3 linked regions of the Macaca fascicularis genome follow. The protein of the gene in region 3 interacts with the protein of the main gene of each other region in a biochemical or structural test. Links are inferred from orthologs where the notes say so. Each region holds a gene or a part of one and is shown on either strand. Other genes may lie near its edges.

The links.
Region 1: the proteins of HSP90AA1 (region 3) and SUGT1 form a complex in vitro, tested with the Homo sapiens proteins (4 studies listed by BioGRID, with this or other methods). The link is inferred for Macaca fascicularis from reciprocal best matches to the Homo sapiens genes HSP90AA1 and SUGT1.
Region 2: the proteins of HSP90AA1 (region 3) and STIP1 form a complex in vitro, tested with the Homo sapiens proteins (9 studies listed by BioGRID). The link is inferred for Macaca fascicularis from reciprocal best matches to the Homo sapiens genes HSP90AA1 and STIP1.

Annotation. Positions count from the first base shown.
Region 1 is NC_088391.1:31,858,066-31,868,494, reverse strand, and holds the start of SUGT1 (protein SGT1 homolog), read right to left. Parts: upstream 6,761-10,429; 5' UTR 6,680-6,760; coding exon 6,642-6,679; intron 6,555-6,641; coding exon 6,497-6,554; intron 6,470-6,496; exon of another isoform or gene 6,364-6,469; intron 2,015-6,363; coding exon 1,924-2,014; intron 1,124-1,923; coding exon 1,054-1,123; intron 338-1,053; coding exon 267-337; intron 1-266. UniProt on the Homo sapiens protein: May play a role in ubiquitination and subsequent proteasomal degradation of target proteins.
Region 2 is NC_088388.1:10,207,759-10,218,247, forward strand, and holds the start of STIP1 (stress-induced-phosphoprotein 1), read right to left. Parts: upstream 5,782-10,489; 5' UTR 5,724-5,781; coding exon 5,715-5,723; intron 5,581-5,714; exon of another isoform or gene 5,466-5,580; intron 4,821-5,465; exon of another isoform or gene 4,621-4,820; intron 892-4,620; exon of another isoform or gene 603-891; intron 451-602; exon of another isoform or gene 1-450. UniProt on the Homo sapiens protein: Acts as a co-chaperone for HSP90AA1. Mediates the association of the molecular chaperones HSPA8/HSC70 and HSP90.
Region 3 is NC_088381.1:170,183,458-170,193,828, forward strand, and holds HSP90AA1 (heat shock protein HSP 90-alpha), read right to left. Parts: upstream 7,037-10,371; 5' UTR 6,978-7,036; intron 6,380-6,977; coding exon 6,218-6,379; intron 6,129-6,217; coding exon 5,762-6,128; intron 5,442-5,761; coding exon 5,308-5,441; intron 5,014-5,307; coding exon 4,693-5,013; intron 4,578-4,692; coding exon 4,412-4,577; intron 3,987-4,411; coding exon 3,796-3,986; intron 3,694-3,795; coding exon 3,546-3,693; intron 3,308-3,545; coding exon 3,039-3,307; intron 2,470-3,038; coding exon 2,136-2,469; intron 1,550-2,135; coding exon 1,440-1,549; 3' UTR 775-1,439; downstream 1-774. UniProt on the Homo sapiens protein: Molecular chaperone that promotes the maturation, structural maintenance and proper regulation of specific target proteins involved for instance in cell cycle control and signal transduction.

The sequences.
Region 1 (10,429 bases), on a different chromosome or scaffold from region 3:
AGCCAGACTAAGTAGAGACAGCATAAGTGTTTCCATAGAGTTTTTTACTTCTAATGGTAAAGTTCATCTGTGATTTAAATGCCAAAAGGCTAATTTAATCAGTTTTAAGTGATCTCATATCTGCAATCAATATGAAATGTAATTAAGATGAGAAAAACAGGTATTGGGTTTCTACAATTAACCTGAAATTAACATTACCAAAATTCAGCTTTGGTATTTAAGACAGAAATAGATAAGTTTATTAAAGTATAATTTTTAATACTTACTATCTAACTTTTGTCCTTCTGTAAAAGTTTCTAGGGCAGCAGCATAGTTTTTTTCATGGTATTCACATATTCTGCATGAATGTATTTAAAACAAATTAAGACACACAAAAAATCTGGAAAATAGCCTTCTTTCTAAATAAAGAAACTTAGTATTTTCTACTGTTGAAATAAAAAATTTATTTTAAATATATGTTAATAAACCAAGAGACTTTCTAATATACTCTTAACATCTAGTACAATTCCTAGTAAAATTCAGTTTTGGAACTCACTTCAGAAAGAATCTGACTTTAATTATACAAACTTGCTTACTCCAAAATATAATTATACAAAGGAATTAAAGAAGTTTCTTAAAGAATAGTTATACTTATCAACAGAAACAAGATGGGACATAAAGTACACAGATATAGAGTTTTCACAGCATTAAATGTCGCCTATTTGGCTTGGCAGAATAGGATGCTGTCCAGTCAATTAAATACAGTAAATTCCAAATGATTAAAAAAAAAAAAAAAAAAAAAAAAAAGAATGTGAAATCTATCAGCTTCATCTATACCTTTCAATTACTTCAATCATCACTTTTAAAATTTATTAAGTATAGATCTCATATTATGTATTATGGTTAACAAAATAATAGAACCATAAGTTGTATTTAAAATTGAATCATATCTCTGCTATATAACGTATAAATACAGAATTTTACAACTTATATAAAGCTTGCAATGAACTCATTCAACAAATTAAACACCTACTATCTATACTAAGCTCAACAAGAAGAGTAGCTATTGCATACCCTTTTCTCAACAGAGCAGTGGAATTATTTGGATTGAGTTTGAGAGACTTCTTTGCATCAGCAACAGCAACTATGTAGAAAAAGATGGGTTTTAGTCAGTTATTTACAGATCCTAGCAAATACATATAACATATAAATCAGTTTTAGATTTCTAAGTTTTCAAGTTGGTAGAAATGCCAAATGGTTTTAAATTAGGAAAAGCTAATACAAGATAGAATTCAAATAAATTATTACTCTTGTATCTTCCTTTTGGCTTAACATTTAGCTTCCTTCTTAAAGCTCTTCAGTCAATGAATACAGCTGTGTCACAAAATTCACCTCCTTGTCTCATTAACATCGTCTACGTAATTTTACTCAAGGTATTCGGTTTTACCCTATTCAGATTCTTGATCAGAATAATTTTTTAAAGTTACAAAACACAGAAATATATTACTTTTTAAATATAGGTGGTCTTGTTATGTTGCCCAGGCAGGTCCTGAACTCCTGGGCTCAAGTGATCCTCCTGCTTTGGCCTCCCAAAGTGTTGGGATTACAGGCGTGAGCCACCATGCCTGGTCATTCTTTTTTATAAAAAAATACAAACAAGCATTTCATTTTAATACTCTGTCAAATAGTAAATGTGATGCTATTTTTTATCAGCATACCCAATAACTATGAATGAAATCTGTATACATTCTCCACCCAATGAAGGAAAAAGCGACATCCATAAAATTTAAATGGGTGTTGCTCAACGTGTCTGTCACATTTGAGCTACTTTACCTTGTATCAAAGACCAACTTAAAAATTCTCAAAGACAACCTTTAATTTGTCATGGGTAAAATGTGTAAGTAACTTATTAAAAAGGGCAATATACTTTATAAGAAAAGTTACCACAGTAATTCCCAAGAAGAATGTGACAATAAGCTCTTTGACAATAATACTGTGCATCATCTGGTTTCTCTTCCAAAGCCTTAGTCAGCTCCTACAAAAACAAACATGTTGAGTGTCAGTAAAAGTTTGTAAAAAGCCATCAAATTCTAATTAAAACATAATTTTTAATCAAGTAACTTATTGTCAGAAGCTATTTGGAGGAAAGCTAACAGGGATATAACCTTGGAGTTTTTCCTTATAAAAGGATCAGTATCTCCCCCACTTCTCTTGCCCCTCCTCCCAAAAGTAGACAATCTAATGTAGTATCTGTGTACCATAAAGTATTTAGTTCCTGGTCTACAGAATTCAATAAATGATCATTATTATCACCTCATATATTCTTAAGAGTTTAATTGTTATACATTGACCATTACAGATTTCCTCCTCCTAATCTGAAGAAGATTCAAACACCACATAGAATTTGAGATTCCTAGAAAATGTGAAGCTGTGCAATAAAAAAAAGACGAGAAGTTAAATCTAGCACTCAGGGAGGTTAAGACAATCAATACATACACAATCAAGCTTACCTGGCCCTCTCCTAGCCTCTATCAATAGCACACAACTCTAATAAAACCCAACTAAATATTCTGTTCAAAGCCCAGACACAATCTAATAGATGGCTATGTCAACTATCAAGAGTTAACATTAGAGACTGAAACTTTTTCAACCCATGCAGTCACAACATATAGGTGTGGTAGCTGGAAAAACAATGATGCAAAAGATTACACAACTTGGGAGATCAAGGACAAGTGCAGGAACACTTTTATTTTCTGCCAACTGACTACAAACTCTAGGGATTTGGTAGTTTTCTTTAATGGTAAAATTATTTCAAGAGCCACATGTATCATTGACTTTGCTTTAACCTAGTAGTGTGACTCTCACAAAGCAACATGTACAGATGCTCCTCAAATTACATGGGGTTACAATCAATCAACAGAAAGTGTGGCTCAAACCAAGAAAGCAAAGAAGCTGTAACCTGCTACACTTCAAGGGCCTCACTTTGTAGGCTGCAGACTGTATAAGGAATTTGGACCTTAGGTGTGATGGAAAGCCATGGAAAGTTCACTGTAAGAGCATGGTCCAATTTACTATTTTTTTAAATGTCATTCTGGCTGCAGTCTGGTGAATACATTATCAAATCAGGACTGGAAACGGAGACTTCTTAGGAAACTACTAAAGTCTAGGTTAGAAAAGCATGTTAGCCACAGAGGTGACGAAGAGAAATACAGTAAGTTGGAACATATTAGAAGCAGCGAGACTTGCTAATGGGTGAACATGTGAGATAAGATAAATTGAAGATGACTGCAGGGTGCTGGGCTTGCCTAGATCTGTATGTGGCATCTAGTAACCATTCAATGAAAAGTATTGATTTTTCTCCTTGCAGATTTTTTTTCAGACCTTTCCCTGGTCTCTGCTTTGACCTCATCTTCTTTGCCACAGAATACAAAAATATTTGCCTCTCTAGTCTTAATCTTCTCAAAATCACTAATAACCCCTTATCAAATCCAACTGATTCCTATCTGACTTGATCTCTCTGCGGCCCTTGACAATAATAACCAGGCCTTTCGGCTTACCATTCTGTTGCCTCTTAAAAACTAATGTTCTCCTTGGGATCAGTACTTAAGGCTTCTTCCCCTCTACAAACATTCTTTGATTCCTTAACTATTGGGGGGATTCACATATGTGTTGATGCATGCTGATGACTCAAGTCTATTTTGAGCCTAGACAGTGCCCCTGAGCAACAGCAGCACATAGTTTTCTCTAGACTACCTGAAATGTCCCAGGGGCAACTCATGTACAAATATTCACAATCTAAAACTACTTTCTCTCCTCAAACCTGTTCCCCAATGCTGAATGCAATCTTCTAAGTGCTATCATCCTAAATGCTATCTAAATGAATAGCACCAGTTCCTACTACATTCCCCCAGCCAGAATCTCAGGAGACATCCCTTATATTCCAATTGTTACCAAGTCCAGTGCATTTTACATAAAACAACTCCCCTTCATGCTCTCAATCACTACCCTACACGCAGATATTATTCTTCGATCCGGTCAGCACCACCATCTTCCTGCTACCCACTATCCCTTGTTCCTCCTCCAATTAACCATCTATTCTGCTTTTAAAGTAGGTTTTGTAATTCAGAAAATTTCATTTTCCTTTCTCCAAATTCTTGACACATCTCCACGATCATGTAAAACTGAAAACGCTGTGCCGGGATTTAATGCCTTTGATGGCCGGACCTCACTGTCACCTGGACTGGAGTGCAATGGCACGATCTCAGCTCACTGCTACCTCTGCCTCCAGGGTTCAAGCGATTCTCCTGCCTCAGCCTCGCGGGCAGCTAATTATGGCTGCCCACCACCACGCCCGGCTAATTTTTTGTATTTTTAATAGAGACGGGGTTTCACCATGTTGGCTAAGCTGGTCTCAAACTCCTGACCTCCTGATCCGCCTGCCTCGGCCTCCCAGAATGCTGGGATTACAGGTGTGAGCCACCGCGCCCGGCTGCACTTCTAATTAATTGCCAGGTGATACTACTACTGCTGGTCCAAGAGCCACACATTAAAAACCAAGGTACTAATACTAGCCACATGACTATCCTAGGCAATTCTTCTCCTAGGTACATACAACCAAAAGAAATGCATGTGTTCACCAAAATACACGTACAAGAGTATTCACAGAAGCTTTATTTATGCTAGCTAATAACTAGAAACCCAGATTTCCACTGTTAGAATAAATTGCGCTGTACTTACAGCTGTACAACATATATTTATACAATGGAATATTACACAGCAACGCAAAAGAACTACTGCTTCACACAATATGAATGTATACTCACGTAATGATTAAAGCAAAAACAGAGTGCCTACATTCAACAAAGCACCTACTGTATGATTCTGTTTATGAGTAAAGAACAAGCAAAACTAATTGATGGTGATGGAGGTCAAAACAGGAGTCAGCAGGACAGTAAGAAGAATTACTGGCTCAGAAGGAGCACGAAGGAGCATTATGAATGGAGATACTCTGTATCTTAATCTGGTGGTGTAAACATGTGAAAATTCATCAAACTATAGATTTAAAATTTGTGTTATTTACACATATCATATATGCCTCCATAAACATTTTTAAAAGTACAGTAAGATGGAAAGTGACAATAAAATTCATTATGTTAATATTGTTTAAAAGCAACTTTTATATAAAGCGGATTTCCAAACGAAGCACTAGGTCTAACAGGACAATAACAAATGTAAATTAAAAGTAATAGCTGTCTAGCTAATACAAGGAATTATGGAGAAAAATTATCAGTGCTTTCTGTAACATTATCCCCAAACTGATCCCAGAAGCCTTACTCCCAGTATCTAAAGGTCTATATATTTAGGTACAAAAAACACCTGGACCCTAAAAGGCCTTATAGGACCTGGCTCCTAGTTTCCTGTCCAACCTTATCTTTTAATCAAATGGGCCCTCTAATAAAAAGAGCCTTTTTGTTGCTTCACATACAGGCCCAACTTCATTCCTACCTCAGGATCTGCACTGGCTCTTGGTCCTGCCTGGAATACTCTTCCCCCAGAGCTTCCAAGTAATATCCCTTGTTGCTTCAGATCTCAGCTCAAAGATCTTCTCAACGGAGGCTCTAGTACCATGTGGCACATTTCTTATAAAAGTCATAGCTAGAAAAAACGCTGTCTTGCCTCAAAGTGTTAAACATAACAACAAAACAGGTTTCCTCTTCTCTGTGATGTAACGCAAAAAACAAACTCCTGGCTAAATTCTGTGACCCACACCATCATTTATCTTTAGGTTCTCCTCTAATTCTTATTATTTAACTCTTGCTCTTTTACATTCCTTTACAGCTTTATGGTTTGTCTTCACTGCACACCTACAAAAAGTGATTTCTAAGTTAGCTAAGTATATAACGAAGACTTTAACCCATAGCAATCAGCGCCTTTGCACACTGCCACTCAAAAACAATTTTTGATGTATATACAAATGAGTGAATAATGAACTGTGATAAGACATCTGGAAAGTTTCAGGGACGTGAGGGAAAAGGTTTTTGCTCCAATAAACCGACTTCATACCGACACTTTTACATAAGAGTGGCAAGAATGATTGTCAAACGAAAAACTTAACTTCATCGAGCCCAGAGTCCACTTTTCTAGTCACAAACGTCATTAAAAAACAAAAATCCTTTCAGCCCAGCCCAGAGCCCACTTTTCTCTTCTAGTCATAAATGCCATTAAAAAAAAAAAAAATTCTTTCAACCCAACTACAAATGCCAACCATGCTCCCAAGAAATACAGGTTTTTCTCAGGAGCTGTAGGGAGTGGAAAGGGCGAGATAGGAGTCTAGGGTAACGCGGCTACCGTGGAACAGAGAAAGGAGACCCAGAATCTCAATACCGGGGCTGAGACGCAGCATCAACAAGAGCCTGGGTCCCTGTCCGGCGGTGCTGGGAGAAGGCGAGTCAGCCGGGCCCCGAAGTGGCCCAGTTCCCCTAAAGAGAGTGGAGGAAGCAGAAATGGGCTCTCTCACCTCTAACGCCGCCTGGGGGTCCTCGTCGATTAGGGCATCCGAGAAGCTCTGCAAAAACCTGTCAGGAAAACAACGACTTCAGCACGGCTCACTAGCCAAGGAAAGGGGGATAAAATAAATAGCAAAGGGAAAGAAAAACACGCACCTCTGGGATGTTGCAGTTCCTGCTGCAGCCGCCGCCATCCCTCGTAGTCACTGTTGCTGCCGCCGGAGTTGCTACTATCGCGGTTACCACCTCCACTACCGCCCAAGGGGGAAACTTCTGGAGAAACACCAACCGAGCTTCCGTCCTAAATAGCCAACGAGCAGCCACGCAGCGTGCTGCTAGCGGAAAGGGAGGCGACACGCCGGCGCGGGGCCAGCCGGGACAGTGGAGGACCGATTCCTCCCAGCCCCACCCCGGCCCAGGACCAGCGCTCCCAGTCCCCGCCCCTCGCAGCCATGGTTACTGAAGCCTGGGGCGTACACGTTCTCCCTCCCTTCCACGGCGCCCACGCCAGCGGGCACTCCCACGGAGCTTTCAGTAGTAGTTTACAAGCACTTTTGTAACGTACTGTCATCCCTCAGGAACGTGTGGCGGTTAGGGGCGTTTGTATGTCAGTTAATAACGCAAGCTACTTCGAGCTTCCATTTTCCCTAGTTTCTATCATGGCTGCCACAGGTAGCCAAGTCCTTTCGCTTCCATTACCTCATTCGCGGCTGCGTTGTCGCTTCCGGGAGCAGAGGCCCGGATGACGCTTGGATTCCCGCGATCTTTGGGCTGGGAATCCTAAACGGCTGGGACTCACCGGAAGTCATTCTGCCCTAATAGCGGCAAAAAGCCTTCTGGTTCCTGGGGCAACGCGCCGGGCGGCCCCACAGCCCAGGATTTCTTCTTAGTGGGCTTCCCAGACCAAGAAGGGAAACCTTTTCCATCCGAAGGTACTGAGGGGAGGAAGGTGGCCTAAGTTATCTCAGTGCCGCTTTGTTTCCCACGCCAGTCGGTCAGCCCTTCCTCAGCGCTCTTTACGCTTGCAGATCGGATGGAGAAAGCTGCCAGCATGTTCCAGGGATGGGGGCAGATTGAGGAGCGAGAGGGAGTAGTGTTTGTCTAACTTTATACCAGTACCAAACTGTGTTAACTTAATGTAGTTTTATAATAAATCTTTAAGTCCTGTAACTTATTCTCCCAAGATTGCTTTGGCTCATTCTACGACCTTTGTATTTCTAGGTGAATTTTGGAATTAGGTTAAATTAAAAAATGGGATTTTTGCTGGACTTGCATTGAATCTATAGATCTGTTTGGGGAAAACTAGTATCTTAACATTAAGTCCTTCAATCCATGAGTATCATTCTACCCCACCATTTATTTAAGTGGTCTTTAATTTCTCCTGGCAATGTTTTGTAGATTGCCCATATATCTATATTTTAATGCAGCTGTGCTTGGATAGATTGCAGTATAGAGATGATACATATCTTTCATTAGATTTATGTTAAATGGCATTTTGACTTTTTAATATTCTGCTTGTTGTAAGAATAAACAATATTGATTTTTACATACTGATCTTATATTCAAGCATCTTGCTAAGTTCCCTTGTTACTTGTAATAATACTGTGTAGATTCTTTCGGAATTTCTGCGATCAAAATCTTGCAATCCACGAATAAAGATGGTTTAACTTCTCTGTAACCTTTATACCTTTTATTTGTATTTATTTTTGCCTTTTGTTGCTGGCTAGTATTTCCACTATTGAGTAAAAATAGTGATAATGGACTTCCTTGTCTTGGTCGTAACATCAGGAGGAAAGCATTGAATATCAAGTGCTTTTTCTGCCTTTATTGAAATGTTCATTTGTATTTTTAAATGTTACTGTGAATTACACTGGTTAATTTTCAGATGTTATCTAAATGGCCAATTGTTCTTCTGGACCCACTGACTCCAGTTGGGATGGCACTATAAGAAGAGAGGCAGAGCCAGTGAAGGAGACAAGGTTTATTCAGGACTTACATACGAGGGTGGTCCAGTGGTGGGCTGGCCTGGAGAACTGATACCATTTGTAAAAAGCATGTAGTGTATATACCATTTTCACTTAGCACCCTCCTAGCAACCTCCATTTAACCCAAAAACAAAGGGCCTTGATTTCCTGTACAGCCTAAGATATGGGCCAGGGATGTGGATGTCCTTCATAGATAAGGAGTGAATCTCTGGGTTGGCTATTCCTGGATTCCTCAGCCCAGGACTCCAAACGTAGGTTCTTCTTAGACCACAGGGTTAGTCTCAGGTATGCTCCAGTTATGGCTCTGCACTAATGTGTGTACACCAGCCTCTGCCATGCACCAATACACATAAATGTATGGCCTCTGAAAGGGTGAATTCCAAGACTGACCTATAGGCCCAACATGAGAAAAAGTTCTATATATTATGGACATTGAAATCAATGAGTTACCAAGACTACCACCAGAATGGCTTAAATTAAAAGGACTTCCAATACCAAGCATTGACAAGGATATGCAGCAACTATATCTTTCATATATTGCTGGTGAGAGTTTAATCATTTTGGAAAACTGTGGTACTATATGTCTGTTCTTGCATTGCTATAAAGAAATACCTGAGACTAGATAATTTACAAAGAAAAAATGTTTAATTGGCTCTTGGTTCTGCGGACTGTACAAGCAGCATAGCAGCTTCTACTTTTGCAGAGACCTCAGGAAGCTTCCAATCAAGGCAGAAGGCAAAGGTAAAGCAGCCATCTTACATGGCAGGAGCAAGTAGGGTGGGGGGAGGTACACATTTTTTAACAACCAGATCTCACAAGAATTCACTGTTGCGACAGTACCAAGGGGGGTGGTACTTAACCATTCATGAGAAACCCACCCCTATGATCCAGTTACCTCCCACCAGGCCCCACCTCCGACATTGGGGATTACAATTTGACATGTGATTTGGGTGGGGACACATATCCAAACTATATCAGACACTACTAAAGCTAGTTATACATAGACCATAACCCAATTATTCTACCACTGGGCATATACCCAAGAGTATTTATTATTTATGATCATGTAGAAGAATATTCACTGCAGCATTACCCAAGGTAGCAAAAACTGGAAATAATCTAAATGTCCTTAAATAGGAGAAAAAATATTATATAGCAATGAGTAACAATGAACGACTACTACACACAACGATATGGATGAACATTATATACATTAAGTTGTGGTAAAAAAAAAAACAGACAGAGTACATCATGATTGATTCCACTTAGATGAGAGGTATCATAAGGGAACCTCCTGGTTGTCAGGGAGGGTGGGGAAAAGGAGCATGAAGAAATCTTCTTGGATGCAGGAAATGTTACATATCTTGATCTGGCTGGTAATCACAGCAGTGTATTCAAACAAAATTTTATCAAGTTATGCACAAGATTTATGCAGGCTGGGTACACGCTCACGCCTATAATCCCAACACTTTGGGAAGCCAAGGCAGAAAAATCACTTGAGCCCAGGAGTTCAAGACCAGCCCAGGCAAGGTGGTGAGATCTCGTCTCTACAAAAAATAAATAAAAAAGCATTAGCCAAGGATGGTTGTGCGTGCCTCAGCTACTTGAGAGGCTGAAGCAGGAGGATCACTTGAGCCCAGGAGGTTGAGACTCTTACCGTGTTACTGCACTCCAGCCTACATAACAGTGTGAGTCTCTTAACAACAACAACAAATTGTTCACTTTGATTTTGCAGATTCGTTTGAGAAGAAATGATATCTTTCCCTTGTATTGCCTCTTCCAATCCATGAACGTAATTGCTTGCTTCATTCAGTTACTCATATCTATCTTTCAGTAAAGTTTTTATAATTTTCTCCATAAATTCTTCGCATCAGTTTATTGAAGTCTTGGGAGGAAGGAGAGACAAATGCTTAAGAAGTCATTAATAAAATGTTTTCGGCCGGGCACAGGATTACATGC
Region 2 (10,489 bases), on a different chromosome or scaffold from region 3:
TTCTCAAACATTTAGAGTGCAAGAAGTAGGGATACAGCAGGGTTTGGTTTTGTTTTGTTTTTCGAGACGGAGTCTCACTCTGTCGCCCAGGCTGGAGTACAGTGGTGCCATGTTGGCTCACTGCAACCTCTGCCTCCCAGGTTCAAGTGGTTCTCCTGTCTCAGCCTCCCAAGTAGCTGGGACTACAGGTGCCCCCCCCGATGCCCGGCTGATTTTTGTAATTTTAGTAGAGACAGGGTTTCACCATATTGGTCAGGCTGGTCTTAAACTCCTGACCTCAGGTGATCCATCCGCCTCAGCCTCCCAAAGTGTTGGGATTACAGGCGTGAGCCACTGCGCCCGGTGGGATACAGCAGTTTGAAAAAGTGAAGCAACTCTGCCTGGCCGCCCCACTGTCGGAGAAGTAAGAAGCCCCTCTGCCCGGCTGCCTGACTGGGAAGAGAGGAGCACCTCTGCCTGGCCGCCTCTGTCTTGGAAATGAGGGGCACCTCTGCCTGGCCGCCTCTGTCTTGGAAATGAGGGGCACCTCTGCCTGGCCGCCTCTGTCTTGGAAATGAGGGGCACCTCTGCCTGCCCGCCTCTGTCTTGGAAATGAGGGGCACCTCTGCCTGCCCGCCTCTGTCTTGGAAATGAGGGGCACCTCTGCCTGGCCGCTGCACTGTCTGGAAAGTGAGGAGTTCCTCGGCCCAGCCCCTGCATGGTCTGGGAAGTGAGGAGCGTCTCTGCCCGCCCATCCCACTGTCTGAGAAGTGAGGAGTGCCTCTGCTGGGCTGCTGTGCAACCCTCCAAGTGTGAAGTGACAGCCTTGTGTGTGATCTTTCTGCCCTCCCCAAGTTTGCATTAGACATTAAAGTTTACTTTTTAATAAAAAAAAAAAGAAAAAGAAAAAAAGTGAGGCAGGCCTTGGCCCTGTCTTAACAGGGTCCTCACTAAAGGGTTTCTCCTCACTGAGCTGCCCCACAAAAGGCCAGGCGCCCCACAGCAGCCTACCTGAGGGCAGGCAGCCCCTCGAGAAGCTCCTTCATTTATTCATCTTATTATTATTTTTTGAGACAGAGTCTTGCTCTGTCCCCAGACTGGAGTGCAGTGGCACGATCTCGGCTTACTGCAACCTCTGCCTCCCGGGTTCAAGCGATTCTCCTGCCTCAGCCTCCCGAGTAGCTGGGATTACAGGCTCCCGCCACCACGCCTGGCTAATTTTTGTATTTTTAGTAGAGATGGGGTTTCACCATGTTGGCCAGGCTGGTCTTGAACTCCTGACCTCATAATCCGCCCATCTCAGCCTCCCAAAGTACTGGGATTACAGGCGTGAGCCACCGCGCCCGGCCATATATATACATATCTATGTATTTTTTAAAGACAGTATCTCACTTTGTCACCCAGCCTGGAGTGCAGTGGCATGATCACAGCTGGCTGTAACCTTCAACTCCTGGACTCAAGCAATCCTCCTGACTCAGCCTTTTTTCTTTCTTTCGTTCTTTTTTTTTTGAGATGGAGTTCCACTCTGGTTGCCCAGGCTAGAGTGCAATAGTGCGATCTCACCTCACCACAACCTCTGCCTCCCAGGTTCAAGCGAGTCTCCTGCCTCAGCCTCCTGAGTAGCTGGGATTACAGGCATGCACCACCACCACCATCCATCTAATTTTGTATTTTTAGTAGAGACAGGGTTTCTCCACGTTGGTCAGGCTGGTCTTGAACTCCTGGCCTCAGGTGATCTGCCCGCCTTGGCCTCCCAAAGTGCTGGGATTACACGTGTGAGCCACTGCGCCCGACCAACTCAGCCTTTTAAGTAGCTGGGACTACAGGTGTATGTCACTACGCCTGGCTAAATGTTTTTCTCTTTCTGTGGTAGAGATGGTGTCTCTCCATATTGCCCAGGCTTGTATCAAACTCTTGGCCTAAAGCAACCCTCCTGCCTCAGTCTCCCAAAGGTGAGCCACCACACCAGACCAAAATATACCTTTAAGAGGTAAACGTTCTGTGAGATAGTTATGTCACCCAAGTTACTAACTCATTCTATGTATTATCCACTCACGACCCAGTAAATTGATGCAAGAAATAATTTTGTTAAGAGAAATGATTTTAGGCTGTAATCTCAGCACTTTGAGAAGCCAAGGCGGGTGGATCATCTGAGGTCAGCAGTTCGAGACCAGCCTGGCCAACATGGTGAAATCCCGTCTCTACTAAAAATACAAAAATTAGCCCGATGTGGTGGTGCATGCCTGCAGTCTCAGCTACCCAGCAGTCTGAGGCAGAAGAATCACCTGAACCTGGGAGTCGGAGGTTGCAGTGAGCCGAGATGGCGCCACTGCATTCTTACCTGGGGGACAGAGTGAGACTCTATCTGGGGGGGGGAAAAAAAAGAAAGAAATGATTTTGGAATCCTGAAATACATCAGGAACTTCCATCAATCAGAGACATTACAGAGGCACAGGCAGAAGGAACCTGCCAAATTAAGCAAACAAGGGATAAAAAATCCTAGAGCCCAAGATGGAGGGCAGAAGACAAAGAGTTAACAAAACTCAAGTGGTGTCAAGAGGCAGCTGGTGAAGTTCTTGCCTATGCTTTAAAAAAGCATTTTTCAAACAGAGTACTGATCAACAGTGGGTCAGGAAATCAATTTTGTAGGTCATGACCAGCATTTTAAGAGACCAAGTGGGACAAAAAATACCAGCACACAGGGCACATAACAGTAAATACTGTTTTGCTGAATGTGTTACATGGCTGGATGCCTGTGTTGGGTTAAATGTAAGAAGTATATCATTGCAGGATTTATTTGAAAGGCCCCTATTGAAAAAAAAGACAAGCTTGAACATTCAAAATCTGTCCAACTTGTTTTTTTTCTGGAGACAGAGTCTCACTGTCATCCAGGCTGGAGGGCAGTGGAGCAATGTTGGCCCGCTGCAACCTCCACCAGCCGGCTTCAAGCAACTGTCCTGCCTCAGCCTCCCATGTAGCTGGGACCACAGGTGCACGCCTCGATGCTCACCTAATTTTTTTTTTTTTTTTTTGAGAGAGAGTCTTGCTCTGTCACCCAGGCTGGAGTGCAGTGGCACAATCTCGGCTCACTGCAAGGTCCGCCTCCTGGGTTTAAGCGATTCTCCTGCCTCAGCCTCCCAAGTAGCTGGGACTACAGGAGTATGCCACCACGCCCAGCTAATTTTTGTATTTTTAATAGAGACACGGTTTCACCATATTGGCCAGGCTGGTTTCGAACTCCTGACCTCATGATCCACCCGCCTTGGCCTCCCAAAGTGCTGGGATTACAGGCGTGAGCCACCGCCCCCGGGGCGATTTTTTATTTTTTATTTTTTTTAAATTTTTACTACAGATGGGGTTTCACAATGCTGGACAGGTTGGTCTCAACCTGACCTCATGATCCACCCACCTCCGCCTCCCAAAGTGCTGGGATTACAAGTGTGAGCCACCGCACCCAGACCAACTTGAGTATTTTCTAAACTGAAATACAAACCTCACAGTTGAAAATGAAAACAAAGTCTTGTTTATTTTCAGGAATGGCTTCCAGATGGTGGGCTCAAACACACCTGGGGTTAAATGCCAGGTCATCTGTACAGTCGCCATGTCAGTTTGCTGTCCTAAGTCAAATATTCATTCACCATCTATCTATCTGCACATACACTTCTACCATGGGTGGTGGTGATTTAAAAACAAACATTTTAAGACCAGGCAAAGTGACTCACGCTTGTAATCCTAGTGCTCATGCAGTGGGAGGCCAAGGCTGAAGGATAGCTTGAGCCTAGAAATTCGAGACCAGCCTGGGAAACATAGCAAAACCTCTGTCTCTACAAAAAATTTAAAAATTAGCCAGTTGTGGTGGCGTGTGGTTAGCTACTCAGGAGGCTGAGGCAGGAGGATCGCTTGAGGCCAGGAATTTGATGCTGCAGTGAGCTATGATCCCACCAGTGCACTTCAGCCTGGGCCACAGAACCAGACCCTGTCTCTAAAAAATAAAAAATAAATTTGGTAACAGCAGAAAGAGGTCCTTTCTCTTTTTTTCAAGACGGAGTCTCACTCTGTCGCCCAGACTAGAGTGTGGTGGCACAATCACAGCTCACTGCAACCTACGCCTCCAGGGGTGAAGCGATTCCCCTGCCTCAGCCTCCCCAGTAGCTGGGATTATTGGCATGCGCCACCATGCCCCGCTAATTTTTGTACGTTTATTACAGAGGGGGTTTCACCATGTTGGCCAGGCTGGTCTCGAACTCCTGACCTCTGGTGATTCGCCCGCTTTGGCTTCCCAAAGTGCTGGGGATTATACGTGCGAGCTACTGCACCCAGCCGAGATCCTTTCTTAAAAGTAAAAGAGCAATGTCTTATTCCAGAAAATTTTTCCTCACCTATAATACAGCCCATTTAATCCTAGACACAACTGAAGCATTATATGGGCACAAAAAGTTTATTAACTTCATTTCCACTCTTTTTAATACAGCAAGGAAGCTCGAGCTTTGCCTAAAGCAGCAACTGCTACAAGAGACCAAAGGCTCAGCTCTGGAACTCCACCAAAAAAAGGGTGGTAGTCACTAGTCCATCGAGATGTCTTACTTAAGGGGAGCGTGTGGGCAATCTTAGTTTTATGGATCTGAAGTAAGAACCAAATACCAGGTATAGTTTCAGAACTGTCACCCCGAAGTGTTATGGGCCCGGAGCGACGAGGGTAGTACTCTCGAGCAGATGATTTCTCAGATGTTGGTAGAGGTTTCTCGGAGGTTGTTTTGTTCTTTTTCTTCCGATGAATCATTATAGCTCAATGACAGCTTCCAATGGAACAAAATCTCTAGGCCTTTCACAACCACAAGCTACTGAGGACATAACCAAGTCACTGAAAGGAAGCAGCAGCCGCTTCAAACTCTGCCCCCCAAATGCTCAACAGAGGCCCATAACTTCTAGCGGTTAATCTCTGCAAATTGTCTACAACCGCCCCAGTGTAGCTAGAAATCCACCTTTCGGAAGTGTCGGTCCTCGGTCACTCGACAATCACACACACGCATACAAAAAGAGGGGGAGGGGCCGCAATACATTTGTAAACCACTGTCAGAGATGGAATTCGTTCCAAGGACTTTTGCGGCACCCTTCCCTTTACTGCATCAGCTACACTCGCTCTGTAGCTCCTCAAATCCCCGCTCAACGCTCTCCCACCCTCACATTCTCAGATGCAGAAGAGTAAGATTTGCCCCAACTGGATCTCAGGCTGCTAAGACCCAGTGTATTCCCGTCCCCGCTCCCTGGATCCGTCCAAGTTCCTCGTGGCTAAGTCCGAGCGGTTTCTCCGTCGGCTGTCTCAGATCTCCCGGAGCGCTACCTCGCGGGTGCCGACCCCGGCCCCTGGCCTAACTCCACCCCGCCCTCTGCGGCCCGCACCCTCCCCAGCATAGCCTGCAGCAGCCCCTTCGGGACACCTTCAGGGCCCGGTCGCGGCCCCTCTTCCCGCCGCCGGCCGGACTCACCCAAGCTGTGGCCTCCTCCCGGCCCTCTTCGCCCAACCAAGGGGCGATGGGCGCTCCCCGCGGCCGGCCTCTACAGATCCCGCTCCCGCCCGCCGCCCGCGGCCCTCGCCTCCCCGCCGCCGCCCCGTCCGGCTCCAGCACCCAGCTCCGGTCGCCCAGATCTGGCACCCGCCCCGCCCCCTACCGCGGGCCTGGCCTCCGCCGGTCCCCGAGCGGTCTCGGGGCCTCAGCCCGCCCCTCCCCCTTCACCTGCTCCATAGCGCAGCGCGGCCCGGAACCCCGTTGAATCGAATCCGTCCGCTCCGCGATCCCAACCGCACGCGCCGCCTTCTGGAACCTACTAGAAGCTGCCGGGACCCCGGCTCCCGCCCCTTCCTCGCCTGCTCACTGGTCGAGTACTTCTAGGGGGCTCTCTGTGCTGTTCTACTACTGGCTTGAGGTCCAGCCCATCATCTCCACTTCCCTCTCATTGGACAGCGGGGAGTGATTCCCTCAACCCTGCCTCCCCCGCACCTCAGGATTGGACGCCGCTCTATAAACCCACCCATCTCAGGCTGCACGAACGGAGGGAGGAGCGGACTTCTGCGACACAGATTGGTCTTTTGCTCTGCCAATCGTAGCCGCGCTGGCCGCGCCCATTGGTTCCGTTCGTTCTGGAAATTTCCACCTCTCCCATTGGGCTGCCGGACTCCAAGTCGGAACCGCCTTCAGAATGAGAGCGATTCCAATTGGGCGGAGGGTTGCCAACCCTCTGCGCTGATTGGTTTAAATCGCTGCCTTTCAAAAGGCTGGGTTTCGCCCCGCCCGTGGCATATGGCAGTCTCGGCCGTAGTCCGGTACTGTAGCCGTGTCTCCGGCGGCTGCGGTGCCTGTGGGTTACTTTCCATCTGGATCCCTAGTGCCGCGAGTTCCAGGCGGTCCCCGGGATCGCCAGCGGCACAGGGCCCCAGCCTTTCGCCCACGCATCGAGATGGAGGTCCTAGCCGGTCGCGCTGCGTGGTCCTCGACCGCCAGTTGCGCGCGTTGTTCAGCGCTGCGGCCTCGGCCTGGCCCTCCTGCATTCTGGCTGTTAGGTTCCAGAAATGCCACGTGACCGCGAGGGCGCTTGGGCTTGGGCTGGACAGGCAGGGGATCTCATCGCGGCGGGTGCGGCTGTTCTGCTGGGCGTCCTCAGTGGAACCGCACACCCTCTCTGAGTCGTTTGGTCCTGTAGGGCCGAGGGGAATTCGTGCGGTGTTTAGCACGCGGAAAGTACTTAGCGAAAGGGAGCTGTCCCCCAGCCCTCGTGAGTCCGATGTAAAGGAGTGAAAGAGACGAAGAGCTGAATCAGGTAGTTAACCGCCTATGAGCTGGCTAACTGTGGCCTGGTAGAGCCTTAAATCCCAGCCCCAGAAGTCAGAGTCAGGGCAGGCACCCCAAAGCGTGGAAGAGATGCACCTGCGGAGTGAAAATGCTGCTATTGCTTCTAGAGTCAGCTGTGGTTCCTGGAACAAAGGAGCCGCATGACTCGGGTCTGGCAATGGTCTTGGGCTCTGCAGTGTCCTCATCCTTCCCCCTCTCTGGGTAATGCCATCTTCCCAGGGTTTAAAGTGTGTCCTCTCTGCCAATAGCTTGTCTCCACAGCCTCATCTTTAATCCCACCTGCCCCACCCATTTTGGACACTGCAGCCAAGTTGCTGCAGACCTGCAAACCTGGTAATCCCTCACTTGAAAGTGCTGAAGGCTTTAGGGTGGGATTCAGGGCCTGTGTAATCCAACCGCCTGCTTTTTTTTTTTTTTTTTTTTTTTTTTTGAGACGGAGTTGAGTCTCACTGTCTCCAGGCTGAAGTGCAGTGGCGCCATCACAGCTCCCTGCAGCCTGGACCTCCTGAGCTCAAGCCATCCTCCCACCTCAGCCTCTCAAGTACCTGGGGTTACAGGCAGGCACCACTACGCCTAGCTAATTTTTCTGTTTTTTTTTATAGACGGATTTCTTCGTGTTGTCCAGGCTAGTCTTAAACTCCTGCTCTGTCTCTCAGGCTAGAGTGCAGTGGGGCGATCTCGGCTCCCTGCAACCTCTGCCTCCCCGGTTCAAGCAATTATCCTGCCTCAGTCTCCCAAGTAGCTAGGATTACATGTGTGCGCTACCACGCCCGGCTAATTTTTTAATTTTTAGTAGAGACGGGGTTTCCCCATGTTGACCAGGCTGGTCTCAGACTCCTGACCTCAAGTGATCCGCCCGCCTCGGCCTCCCAGTGCTGGGTTTACAGACCCAGCACTTCGCCCTGCGGTTTTGCATTTTCAATAGTGAGGCATGGTGAGAAAAGACTTAAAGAAAGCAAGGGAGTGAGATCCTTGGAAATGTGGGGGAGAACTTTGCAGGCCCATGGAACAGCCAGTGCAAAGGCCCTGGGATGGGAGCTGCCTCGGGGTAGCCAGGATGGCAGGAGGCACAGCTGCCGAGAGGAAGTAGGGGCCAGGTCCTGCAGGGTTAGAGGCCATTGCCACTCCCGAACACATTGGCAGGTTTTGAGCAGAGGAGTGTCATGATCTTAAGTTTTCTCAGGATCCCTCTGGCTGCTGTGTGGAGGAAGAGGGGAGAGTGAGAGCAGGGTTACCTCTTAGGAGGCTGTGGCAGTAATCCCAGGGAGCCAGGATGAGAGCAGAGGAGGGGACAGGAATAGGATTCTGGATGCATTTTGGAGGGAGCATGAAGGAAAGCGGGGTCAAGGGTTCCTCTGAGGCCTTGGCCTCCTCTCTTATTCATCTACATCCAATCTGTCAAGGACACCTTTCATTTCTTCTTGGCACTGTCTCCAGGCCACCACACGTGCCCACCTGACCAGCAGTGGCCTTTCCAAGCCTTCCATCTTCTCCCCAGCAGCTTCTCTCCGAATGGCCAGGTCCCATTTCCCACACACCTTTTTTTAGAGTGTGTTGCACTGCTCTGGGTGCAGGGCTGTAGCAGTGACCAGGGCAGCCCCAGATGAAGCTTCTGCTCACAGGGACCTTTTCTACTGAAAGATGATACCTAAACTCTCAGCTGTGTGATGTTAAGCAATTTGCACAACCTGTCTGTACTTCAGTTGCCTCCATCTTCAAATGGGGATTAAAAAGTGTTGACATCATAGTGGTTGTGAGGATTACATGATTTGATATTCATAAAGCACTTAGAACTTGTCAAGAAGAGGGCCTGGGGATCGCCTGAGGTCAGGAGTTCGAGACCACCCTGGCCAACATGGAGAAACCTCATCTCTGCTAAAAATACAAAAACTAACCAGGTGTGGTGGTGCACTCCTGTAGTCCCAGCTACTCTGCGGGCTGAGGCAGGAGAACCACTTCAACCCGGGAAGCGGAGGTTGCTGTGAGCCAAGATTATGCCACTGCACTCCAGTCTGGGCAACAGAGCAAGACTCTGTCTCCAAAGAAAAAAAAAACAGTGCCTGGCTACGGAATAAGAACTACATGGATTTATTAAATCAAAATCAGTGCACAAATGATAATTCTCAAGAGTGAGTGCTACAGAGAACACAAAAGTCAAGGCACAGAGAGATGACCTGGGTGGCAGGGAAGGAAAGCACTCCCAGAGGTGAGTGGTTAGTGAAGGCCTGTCAGAGATGGATCGAGGAGAAGCTTAGGGGGCACAGGGGACCACACAGGCAACAGAGGATGCAAAGGTCCTGAGGCCAGGGCAAATTCAGAATTTTTTTTTTTGAGAGGGAATCTCGCTCTGTCACCCAGGCTGGAGTGCAGCGGCGCGATCTCGGCTCACTGCAAGCTCTGCCTCCTGGGTCCAAGCAATTCTCTGCCTCAGCCTCCAGAGTAGCTGGGATTGCAGGCACCCACCACCATGCCCGGCTAATTTTTGTGTTTTTAGTAGAGATGGTTTCACCATCTTGGCCAGGCTGGTCTTGAATTGCTGGCCTCATTATCCACCTGCCTCAGCCTCCCAAAGTGCTGGGATTACAGGTGTGAGCCACCATGCCCGGCCCAGAATTCTCTTTATCTTTTTTGAGGGGGTGGGGGATGGAGTCTCACTCTGTAGTCCAGGCTGGAGTGCAGTAGCACGATCTTGGCTCACTGCAACCTCTGCCTCCCGGGTTCACGCGATTCTGCCTCAGCCTCCTTAGTAGCTGGGATTGTAGGTGCCCACTACCACGCCCAGCTAATTTTTTTTTTTTTTTTTTTTTTGTATTTTTAGTAGAGATGGTGTTTTACCATGTTGGCCAGGCTGGTCTCAAACTCATTACTTCTAGTGATCCACCTGCCCCCGCCTGCCAAAGTGCTGGGATTACACAGGTGTGAGCCACCACGCCTGGCCCTGGCCCAGAATTTTCAAGAAATCTAAGGAAGTCTTTTTTGTGCTCTAAGTGTCCTTGACTGTAAGGTGGGGAGGATGAAGTGCCCTTGACTTCCCAAGGTTACTATGCAGAGTGAACAATATAATCCTCCCGGGTTGGACTTGAGTCTTGTCAGACCTGAAGCTTATGACAATTTGAGAGCTCGCTTTGAGAGAAGAAACACACAAAAAATGAAGTGTGTGGCTTTAGAAGGAGCACGAATGGGGTCCCCGATGTTTAAGCTGCTTTAGTGTTACAGTAAAGCCACCTCTGAATACCCAGAAGTGTTAGCTCTTATAACTTCCACCAACTCAGTTTTCTCCAAGCCTCTTGGTAGACTCAGAGGAGGACAGGGAGGCAGCCACTCTGGCTGGCCAGGGCCCTCCTCCCAGGTCCCTGGAACACAGGAGGACCAACCACAGCCGCGTCTGGCCTGTGCATCACGTGACGTCCCAGAGTGATTCATGCTGCTATTTCAGTGCTGCTGCAGTCAAGGGTAGGGAGAGGCATGGCGAGGCTGTATCTGGAGTCAACCTGAAGGCCGTAGTTCCTGCAGCAATGGCACTGAAGGTAAAGTGAGGGTGACTGAGTCTCAGCAGAGCAAATTCCCAACTTTAAAGTTTTCTCAATATCAGAAAAACTAGGAGAGCTGGATCTCAGCATAGGTGGGGAGTAGGGATTAGGGAAGGGCTGCAGCTCAGAATT
Region 3 (10,371 bases):
CTATTGAGCTGATATTTTCCGTCTTTTTTTTTGAGATGGAGTTTCGCTCCTGCTGCCCAGGCTGGAGTGCAATGGCACAATCCTAGCCCGCCGCAACCTTCACCTCCCGGGTTCAAGTGATTCTCCTGCCTCAGGCTCCCTAGTAGCTAGGATTACAGGGGCCCACCACCACACCCGGCTAATTTTGCATTTTTAGTAGAGATGAGATTTCTCCATGTTATCAGGCTGGCTGCTCTCCTCACCTCAGGTGATCTACCCGCAAGTGCTGGATTACAGGCGTGAGCCACTGCTCCTGGCACTTTTTCCTTTGACTTGTGCCAGCCCATCTTTTTCCCACCAGCTTGTTACCTGCTGCTTACAGGTGTCAGCTGGCTCAATAAAAAACCAGAAAATTAGTAACGAGAGATTTCAAACAGGATAGCTTTAAGTAGATTTGGTAAACAACTTTGAGACACTGTAAGGCCAAGAAATTAAGTGACTGTATTTAGAACAGAAGGTATTCCATGAATAACATCAAAACAATGTGGACGCTAAGGGGAGAACACGTGTTAACTCACGGAGACAGGGGATACACGTCTGCATTGCTATTTTCTGTGCCTACTTCATGTGCTCCACCCCACACCTGCGGAGTATATGCTGGGAAGATCACGTCAACCCTTGGAGTGGCCAGTGTTTAACCGTCTACTGCTAGCACCTCATGTTTTACATTTTGGCACCAATGTCATCCAGATATTCCCCTTTCCCCCTAAATAAGACACACTGTCACACAACATCTTTTAACTCATCTGTATTTGTTACAACTTTAAGCAGAATGTGACTCCAGCACTACATTTCCATCCACAAGACTTGAGTTATTTTTGAACAGCTTTATGATATGCTTAGGTAGGCTTATAACTTTGCTCCTCCAAACAATACTTTTCTTTGGAAAACAAGCCCTGTGGAGAGTTCCTTCTATCAAGTTGCTTCAGTTTAACCTATTTCTAGAGGACTAGTACATGCAAAATTGGCAACTACAGGGGATGAAAAGTTCAAAAAGATCCTACAAGATGTAACAAATACTTTTCTAAACATCCAGGTATATATAGCTCGAGAACACTTCAATAACAAGATTTGGTCTACTTAGAAATCCGGCTTGATAGCTAAACACTGTAGACCACAAAGTTAACATCATGTTACATACATCTTACAACACACGTTACCCCAGTCTGTTAAAATAAACCAATGTGAAACTAAAAAAGCATTACTAGCTCTGCTTTAGTGCCTAAGGTACCACAGCATCACTTAGAAATAGACAGAAATCTTATCTTCCCCTTAAAGTAGTTGTTGTCATGCCATACAGACTTTTTAATATTAACAAAAATAAAGAAAAACATCCTGGAAAATATATTATCAGAAGAATTGTAGAGTATTGAACAGGTAAGTCATCCCTCAGCCGGAGGTTAGTCTACTTCTTCCATGCGTGATGTGTCGTCATCTCCTTCGAGGGGCGGCATTTCTTCAGTTACAGCTGCACTGGTATCATCAGCAGTAGGATCATCTTCATCAATACCTGTTTCCAAAATAAAATCCTCGTATTAGAAAGATTTCTTAAAGCCAGCTATTAGTGTAATACTCCTGATTTATACCTGCTTTCAAGACAGTATTTACAGGGCATATAAATCTCAATTTCATTTCTTAGCTCTTATAAGACCTTACTTATCCCTAAAAAAAATATTCTTGAATGCCTCCAAGCAGGACAAGGTGCTCCAAGTTTGGGTAACTGAAAGTTTACCACTTTCTTCACTGTCATGTGTATTTCTTTCCTTTTTTTTTTGAGACGGAGTCTCGCTCTGTCGCCCAGGCTGGAGTGCAGTGGCCGGATCTCAGCTCACTGCAAGCTCCGCCTCTCGGGTTCACCCCATTCTCCTGCCTCAGCCTCCCGAGTAGCTGGGACTACAGGCGTCCGCCACATCGCCCAGCTAGTTTTTTGTATTTTTTAGTAGAGACGGGGTTTCACCGTGTTAGCCAGGATGGTCTCGATCTCCTGACCTCGTGATCCACCCGTCTCGGCATCCCAAAGTGCTGGGATTACAGGCTTGAGCCAACGCACCCGGCCTATTTCTTTCCTTTTTAACATTACATAGTATTAGGCTTACCCAGACCAAGTTTGATCATCCTGTAGATCCTGTTGGCATGTGTCTGGGGATCTTCCAGACTGAAGCCAGAAGACAGGAGTGCAGTTTCGTAAAGCAAGATGACCAGATCCTTCACAGACTTGTCGTTCTTATCAGCCTCTGCCTTTTGCCTTAAGGTCTCAATAATGGAATGGTCAGGGTTTATCTCCAGGTGTTTCTTTGCTGCCATGTAACCCATTGTTGAGTTGTCTCTTAGGGCTTGAGCTTTCATGATTCTCTCCATGTTTGCTGTCCAGCCATATGTGCTTGTGACAATACAGCATGGAGACGTCACCAATCGGTTTGACACAACCACCTGTAATCAAGAAGTGATGACTAGGAGCCTAGAAAGATTAAACCCTAAACCTTCATTGTCAAATGAAATCTGAAGAACCCAAACAATAGATCCGAAATACTATTAAATAGAACTTAAATGTTGCATTAGGTAGTCAAAGAGCACAGATTATAATTAATTTCGTTTTACGTACACCACCTTTTTTTTCCCCCGAGATAGTCTTGCTTGGTCACCCAGGCTGGAGGTGCAGTGGTGCAATCTTGGCTTACTGCAACCTCTGCCTTGCGGGTTCAGGAGATTCTCCTGCCTCAGCCTCCAGACGCCCGCCACCACGCCTGGTTAATTTTTTCGTATTTTTAGTAGAGACGGGGTTTCACCGTGTTAGCCAGGATGGTCTCCATCTCCTGACCTTGTGATCCACTGCCTCAGCCTCCCAAAGTGCTGGGATTACAGGCGTGAGCCACCACGCCCAACCATACACGACATAGTTTTCTATTTTAAGTTGAAAGCAAAGAAAAATGGGTCATGTATGACTAAGCTTGAAAACACCCTAGAGGTATCAATGATCAGGAAATGCTGTATTCACATACCTTTTCAACTTTTTTCTCCAGTATGTCTTTCATGATTTTGCAGAGGTTCTCAAACTTTGTTTTTTTCTCTTCCTGTTTCTTTTTCTCTTCTTCATCCTCTGGAAGTTCCAAGCCCTCTTTGGTGACTGACACTAATGTCTTCCCCTCAAATTCTTTTAGCTGTTGGACACAGTACTCATCAATGGGCTCGATCATATAGATCACTTCTAAGCCATGTTTCCGAAGACGTTCCACAAAGGCTGAGTTAGCTACCTGGTCCTTGGTCTCACCTGAGGTATTACAAAGTTACTTTTAGACCTTTTAACAGTAAGAATGGCTTCATCTACTTCTAACTTTTGCTAGCCAGATACCTAGGCAGAACCTAAGACAAATAATGACCTAGTTCATGTTAATTATCTTGCCTAGATCAACGCCAGTTATAACAGTGCTACCTGAGTAGAAAACACACCCACAGAGCCTACAAGGTTATAAGAACGACGTATAGACTGTAACATAGCGTCCCCCTACCTGTGATATAATAGATATGTTTCTGGTTTTCCTTCATTCTGGTGCAGTAATCCTTGAGAGAAACCATCTCATCGCCAGAGGCAGATGTGTAGTACCTTAACAGCTCTGAAAGCTTCTTCCGATTTTGTGAGTCTTCATGTATTCCAAGCTAAAACAAAGTATGTTCTTTACTAAAGACTCTCTGAATTCAAAAAGAAATCTAAAAAGAGGCCAGCAGGGAAACTACCAATGGTCAAATATTTACACCAACCTTTATGTTTTTAGAGAACTGCTCATAGAACTTCTTGTAGTTCTCTTTATCTTCCGCCAGTTCAGTAAAGAGTTCTAAGCATTTTTTGACCAAATTCTTCCTGATAACTTTCAAAATTTTGCTTTGCTGCAACATCTCACGGGATATATTTAGAGGGAGGTCCTCTGAGTCTACCACCCCTCTAATGAAGTCTGAAAAAAATATAAAAATCAAATGCACTGAGTCATTCCAAGGACAAAACTGGTACTATGTAAACCCCCAAAAGCAAAGACAAGAACCTGGAGATGATAGGAGATTATTTTTGAGACAGTGTCTCACTCTGTTGCCCAGGCTGGAAGGCAGTGGTGCAATCTCCGCTCACAGCAACCTCTGCCTCCCAGGGGGGTTTTCAAGCTATTTTCATGCCTCAGCCTGCCACCACATCGGGCAAATTTTTCTAATTTCAGGAGAGATGGAGTTTCACCATGTTGGCCAGGCTTGTCTTGAACTCCTGACCTCAAGTGATCCGCACACCCCGGGTTCCCAAACTGCTAGGATTACAGGTGTGAGCCACCATGCCCAGCCAGAAGTATTTCTTTAATCAGTGACAGTGATTATTTTTCCTATCTATACTTACTCAGATATTCAGGGATTAGCTCCTCACAGTTATCCATGATGAAAACTCTGCGTACATACAATTTGATGTTGTTCTTTTTCTTTCTGTTTTCAAACAGGTCAAAAGGAGCACGTCGTGGGACAAATAGAAGGGCTCTGAATTCCAACTGCCCTTCAACTGAAAAATGCTGTAATAGAACAAACACACTAAGTATCAATGAACAATGCATTATAGCAGATATTTGGGGTGGTGGGATGATAATCTAAAGACAAGCTTGAAGCATCCATCAGTCCCTCACTCACCTTCACTGCCAAGTGATCTTCCCAGTCATTGGTCAAGCTCTTGTAGAATTCTCCGTACTCCTCATTAGTAATATCGTCGGGATTTCTGGTCCAGATGGGTTTTGTTTTGTTGAGTTCTTCTTGATCGATGTACTTCTCCTTAATCTTCTTTTTCTTCTTCTTGTCACCATCCTTCTTTTCTTCTTCTTCCTCATCAGAACCAACATCTTCAATTTCAGGTTTGTCTTCAGACTCTTTCTCTTCTTTTTCTTTTTCTTCTTCTTTGTCTTCTTTTTCTTCAGCCTCATCATCGCTGACTTCTTTATCACGTTCCTTCTCCACCTTCAAAAGACATGAAATCGCATCACTGCTGCACTCTAGAACTAAGTCATAGCGCTGCCCCACTACTTTCAACCTAAGGCCAAAGCCTAAATTACCGAGGATGAGAAGCAGCCAGGCAGCTTCTCATCAATATTTGATATATCTACTTAATAACCCGAGGAACCTTCACAGTTAGTAGAGCTTAGGTTCCCCAGGCTTCAGACTAGTTCAACAGACCTAGGAACTAAGGATGTAGTACAGTCACCCCAGTCACCTACAGACAGTAATTCACTCTGCAATTATGTAGAAACTTACAAAAAGAGTAATGGGATATCCAATAAACTGAGAATGTTTCTTCACAATCTCCTTTATTCTTCGTTCCTCCAAGTACTCAGTTTGGTCTTCTTTCAGGTGTAGGATAACCTTTGTTCCACGACCCATAGGTTCACCTGCAAGAGAAATAAGGAAAATTGACTCAATAATACATTCAATTTAGTGCTCAACGCCATGCTTAACCCTTATAACGTGTCTATGAAGCGAGGTTTGCCCTTACTACAGATGCAAAGGCTCCCACAGCAGATCTAAGTGCCTTGCCCAAAAGAAGTAATCACCAAGTCATGCCATTACACACTAATTCAGAGCTCTAGCTTGTTCCTGATCCTTGGGTAAACACACTTTCTGTGAACTTCGCCGCATCCCCAGGGGTCCAAGGGTTGCAACACCCCACCATTCCGCCACTGACTTAACCAGTGAGTGTTCAGGTACCTACCTGTGTCTGTCCTCACTGTAAATGATCCCCCTGCTGAGGACTCCCAGGCGTACTGCTCATCATCGTTATGTTTGGTGATCACAGTTACTTTCTCAGCAACCAAATAAGCAGAATAAAAACCAACACCGAACTGGCCAATCATGGAGATATCTGCACCAGCCTGCAAAGCTTCCATGAACGCTTTGGTCCCAGACTTGGCGATAGTACCAAGGTTATTGATCAAGTCAGCCTTGGTCATCCCAATTCCAGTATCCACAATAGTGAGGGTTCGATCTTGTTTATTTGGTATCAGGTTAATATGCAGCTCTTTCCCAGAGTCTAATTTACTGGGATCCGTCAAGCTCTCATAGCGGATTTTGTCCAATGCCTATTAACACAAAATATTAATTAAGCATACAGCCCCCAAGAAGTTCATATTGAAACCAAAATCCTATTCTGGGTTAATAAACGACTTACATCTGATGAATTTGAAATTAGCTCTCTTAGAAAGATCTCTTTGTTCGAATAAAAAGTATTGATAATCAATGACATCAACTGGGCAATTTCTGCCTGAAAGGCGAACGTCTCAACCTCCTCCTCCTCCATCGGTTGGTCCTGGGTCTGCGTTTCCTCAGGCATCTGGAACGACACCGCGCCGGTTTAAAACCCTGCAGAGCGTCTACAGGGGCAACACGAGATTCCATCGCGTCCTCCCAATATTTTTAAAGCCGGATTGCAGATTTGCGAAGTTTAAGTAAACCGAAAATAGAAGGGCGGCTGACAAAGGATGACCTCATTTCGGAGCGCGGTAACTACCACGAGCGTGTGCGCGCTTCCGGGAGGCCACTGCAGGCCCGGCCCAGTCCCGCGCCGCGGTCCCCAACCGACACCCCGTGTGCTCTCCCGCGCGGGCCGCGGCTCCGCCAGGGCGGCCTCCTCCGCCTGCGCCCCAGCTGGGCCGCCCGGGGGGCCCCCAGCCAAAGGGCCGCTCTGCTCGCGTGCGGCGCCAGCTCCGGGGCTGCCGCGGAGCCTCGGGGAGCAGCCGCCCAGCCCATTCCTGAGGCGGGCTGCGGAGACAGCAGCGGGCCCACGGCCTCCGGAATAGGCAGCGCGGCCTCCCGGGAGAGCGGCCCTGGCGGGTTCAGGGCTCCCGTTCGGCCCCCACAGCCTCCGCTCCGCGCCAACCGCCCCCACTCCCCAATCCACCTCCACAGGCCCTCACAACCGCCCCTCACACCTTGGCTAAAAGGCTGCAAACGTTCCACCGCACAGCAGCACCAAGACGCTGAAGCAACTGACGCGCCGCCCCCGCGCCTGCCTTATATAGCGACGGGCCCGCCCAGCGCGCGGCGCTTTTTCCAGAAGCCTCCCGAACCTTCCGGAAGAACCCTCCCCAACCGCCGCCGCGGCCGCGCGCCTGCGCCTGCGCCCTCGCCCTCGCCGTGGCCCGCCCCTCCCGCTGGCGCGCGCAGGCCCTGCTCGTGGCCCAGCCCGGGAAACCTTCCCTCAATCACCGCCCCGCGCCTCTCGCACGCCCCCGCGCCGACCTCAATGCGCCTGCGCGGCCTGGAATTCTCGGGAAGGTCCGGGCGCCTTCTGGGGCCGCCCGCGCTCTCTTCCCTGCACTCCCACCTGCCGAGCGCGGGCGGAGGGCACGCCCGGGCGTGGGGGCCTTTGAAGTGAGGTGTAGTTTGGTCACCCGGGCTGCGCAGAATGCGGGGCTGGGGCGGGAGGCGCGCCTGGAGGGAGGGCCGTGCGTGGACGGGGAGCGCCCCGGGTCTCGCACGCCTGGGAAACTACCGGAGCCGTCATCCTCACGGACGGCGCGCCCGCTGCCAAAAAACCCAGCCGCAGGCGGCGCCGGGATCGCGGGGCTCTGCTCCCTGGGGGCCTTTGGGCTGTTGGCTTCTAGCTGCTGCGCGCAGGGGACGCCGTCCCGCGGCCTGCGCGCTCGGGGAGTCTCCAGACCCACTGCTGGCTCAGGAGCGCTCCCTACCTTTGGGTTCCCCGGAAGCCATGTCCTTCACACTTCAGGATCCCTTAGCTTGGGAATCGGGCCCTTGGTGAATAAATTCATGCTTACCCAGCTACACCCGGCATGCTTTTTAAAAGCCCATCGTTTTGCCGATCGATTTGAGGTCTCCAAATTAAGTATCTAACACTTGACATTTTGGTGATTAACCTTCCCTAAAAGACAGGTTTGGTGTTTTTTTGTTTTTGGACAGGCTGTCCCTCTGTCGCCCAGGCTGGGGTGCTGTGGCACAATCTTGGCTCACCGCAGCTTCGACCTCCCGGGCTCAGGTGATCCTCCCACCTCAGCTTTCCGAGTAACTGGGACGAGCGCGGGCGGAGGACCACAAGCGCGGACACCACACCCGGCTAGTTTTTGTATTTATTTGTATAGTTGGGGTTTCACCATGTTGCTCAGGCTGGAAGAACCAGTTTCTACATGAGAATTTTCAGATATTTTGGTCAAGGCCAGCTATGAGAACCTTGGAGGTGTTGGGGATCCTTAGACTTGGCTCCCATGCCTGGTCCATGTCCTCTTCCTCTCTGGCGCCTCCCACGATTGGGCCTCCTCCTGCCTAAACTCATAGCCAGGTCCTGGGAATAATCTGGAAGCTCCTTACCGTGTAAACAAACGACGGAACTACTTCCGCTTCCTGGTCTCTAGGGAAACCAACTTATTCAGGAGCAGGGGTTTTCAGACTGCGGCCTGGGACCCTTTAAGAGTGTGTGAAATCAACATAAAGCGTCTTGCCCAGCATTACAAAGCGGGGTGGATGGAAACTAGCAGCCACGTGGCGCGGGCCCCAGCGGTGGTTACTGGGTGTGTGCCGGCTCCCGTGATAGCTGTTCCGCAGCCTTGGGGGGCGCCCCCCGCCCAGGCCTTCCCTACACTGCAGCCGAGACCGGCGGGGAGGAATCCGGAAGCAGGCGGGGCGGTGAGCAGGTTGCTGAAGGGGCGCAAGGTCTTCCCTGGCGAGTGCCTCCTCCGCCTGTTTCCTTCCTGTCACCACCAGCCACTGTCCCCACTCTCCTCACTTGTAGGAACTTTTCCTACCGCAGTTTCTGCCATTGCCAATGGGGTTTGAGATTTCTTATACAAGAGCCATCCCGGGCCCTAGCTCTGACAGTCTGTCTTTTGTTTTTGGGACCTTCATTTTTCCCCGTTTCTCCAGTGAACCTGCCCCAAAGCCCCTGCCTGGGTCTGGGCATCACTGGGAACCACCGTTTCCCGTCAGGCCCCACCTTTAATGTCCCTCCTTCCTTCCACAACTTCCTGTCTTTCCAGCTCTCCCGCCTCGGTTAATAAACAGGACATTGGCCGGGCGCGGTGGCTCAAGCCTGTAATCCCAGCACTTTGGGAGGCCGAGACGGGTGGATCACGAGGTCAGGAGATCGAGACCATCCTGGCTAACACGGTGAAACCCCGTCTCTACTAAAAAAAAAAATACGGCGGGCGCGGTGGCTCACGCCTGTAATCCCAGCACTTTGGGAGGCCGAGGCGGGCGGATCACAAGGTCAGGAGATCGAGACCACGGTGAAACCCCGTCTCTACTAAAAATACAAAAAATTAGCCGGGCGCGGTTGTGGGCGCCTGTAGTCCCAGCTACTCGGGAGGCTGAGGCAGGAGAATGGCGTGAACCCGGGAGGCGGAGCTTGCAGTGAGCCGAGATCGCGCCACTGCATTCCAGCCTGGGCGACAGAGCGAGACTCTGTCTCAAAAAAAAAAAAAAAAAATACAAAAAACTAGCCGGGCGATGTGGTGGACGCCTGTAGTCCCAGCTACTCGGGAGGCTGAGGCAGGAGAATGGCGTGAACCCGGGAGGCGGAGCTTGCAGTGAGCTGAGATCCGGCCACTGCACTCCAGCCTGGGCGACAGAGCGAGACTCGTCTCAAAAAAAAATAAATAAATAAATAAAAAATAAACAGGACATTTTTGTCCTGTCTCCGGGTGACATTCCACAGTTACACACCAGTTGAGACCTCTGCCATGGTTTCTACCATCAATATGCCAGCCCCTGGCTGTTCCTTCTCTCTTCTCAGACTCATGTCCCTCTCCCTGGCACATCACGGAGCTCCTGGAGGTGGGTCCTTGTCCCCAGGAAATCTTGTCCAGCACTCTCACTAATAGAACTTGTGTGCAGATGACTCACGGAAGAGCCGGGGCAGGACTCAGCTCCAGACCTGGATGCTGAGCCTCATGAGCTTCTCCCACCTCTCCAGCCCTCTATGAGGGTTCGTTAGCCAGGTGACTGACTATCCCACCACCTTAAAGAATCCCAAGCTTCCCCATAAGGGATCTGCCACTGAGTCCTGCCACTTGTGCTTCCTAAGTACCTCTTGAACCCAGCCACTTCCCTCCACCTTCATCTCCCGCTTCCACACAACCGGGAACTCACCTGGAAGGCCTCCATAATCACCTGACTGCTCCCTATATTTGGTCTGGTCTGTCTCCAACGTGTAGCCAGGGTGAGCTTTGAGAACACAGACCTGGCCCTCTCTATTCCCTCCTCCCCACCCTCGGCAAATCCTAGCTGACTTCCCATCCTTCTAGGAAGAGAACAGAGCTCTTTAGGCCTGTGAGGCCCTGCAGGTCGCTGCTGCCTACCCATACAGCCCCAGTT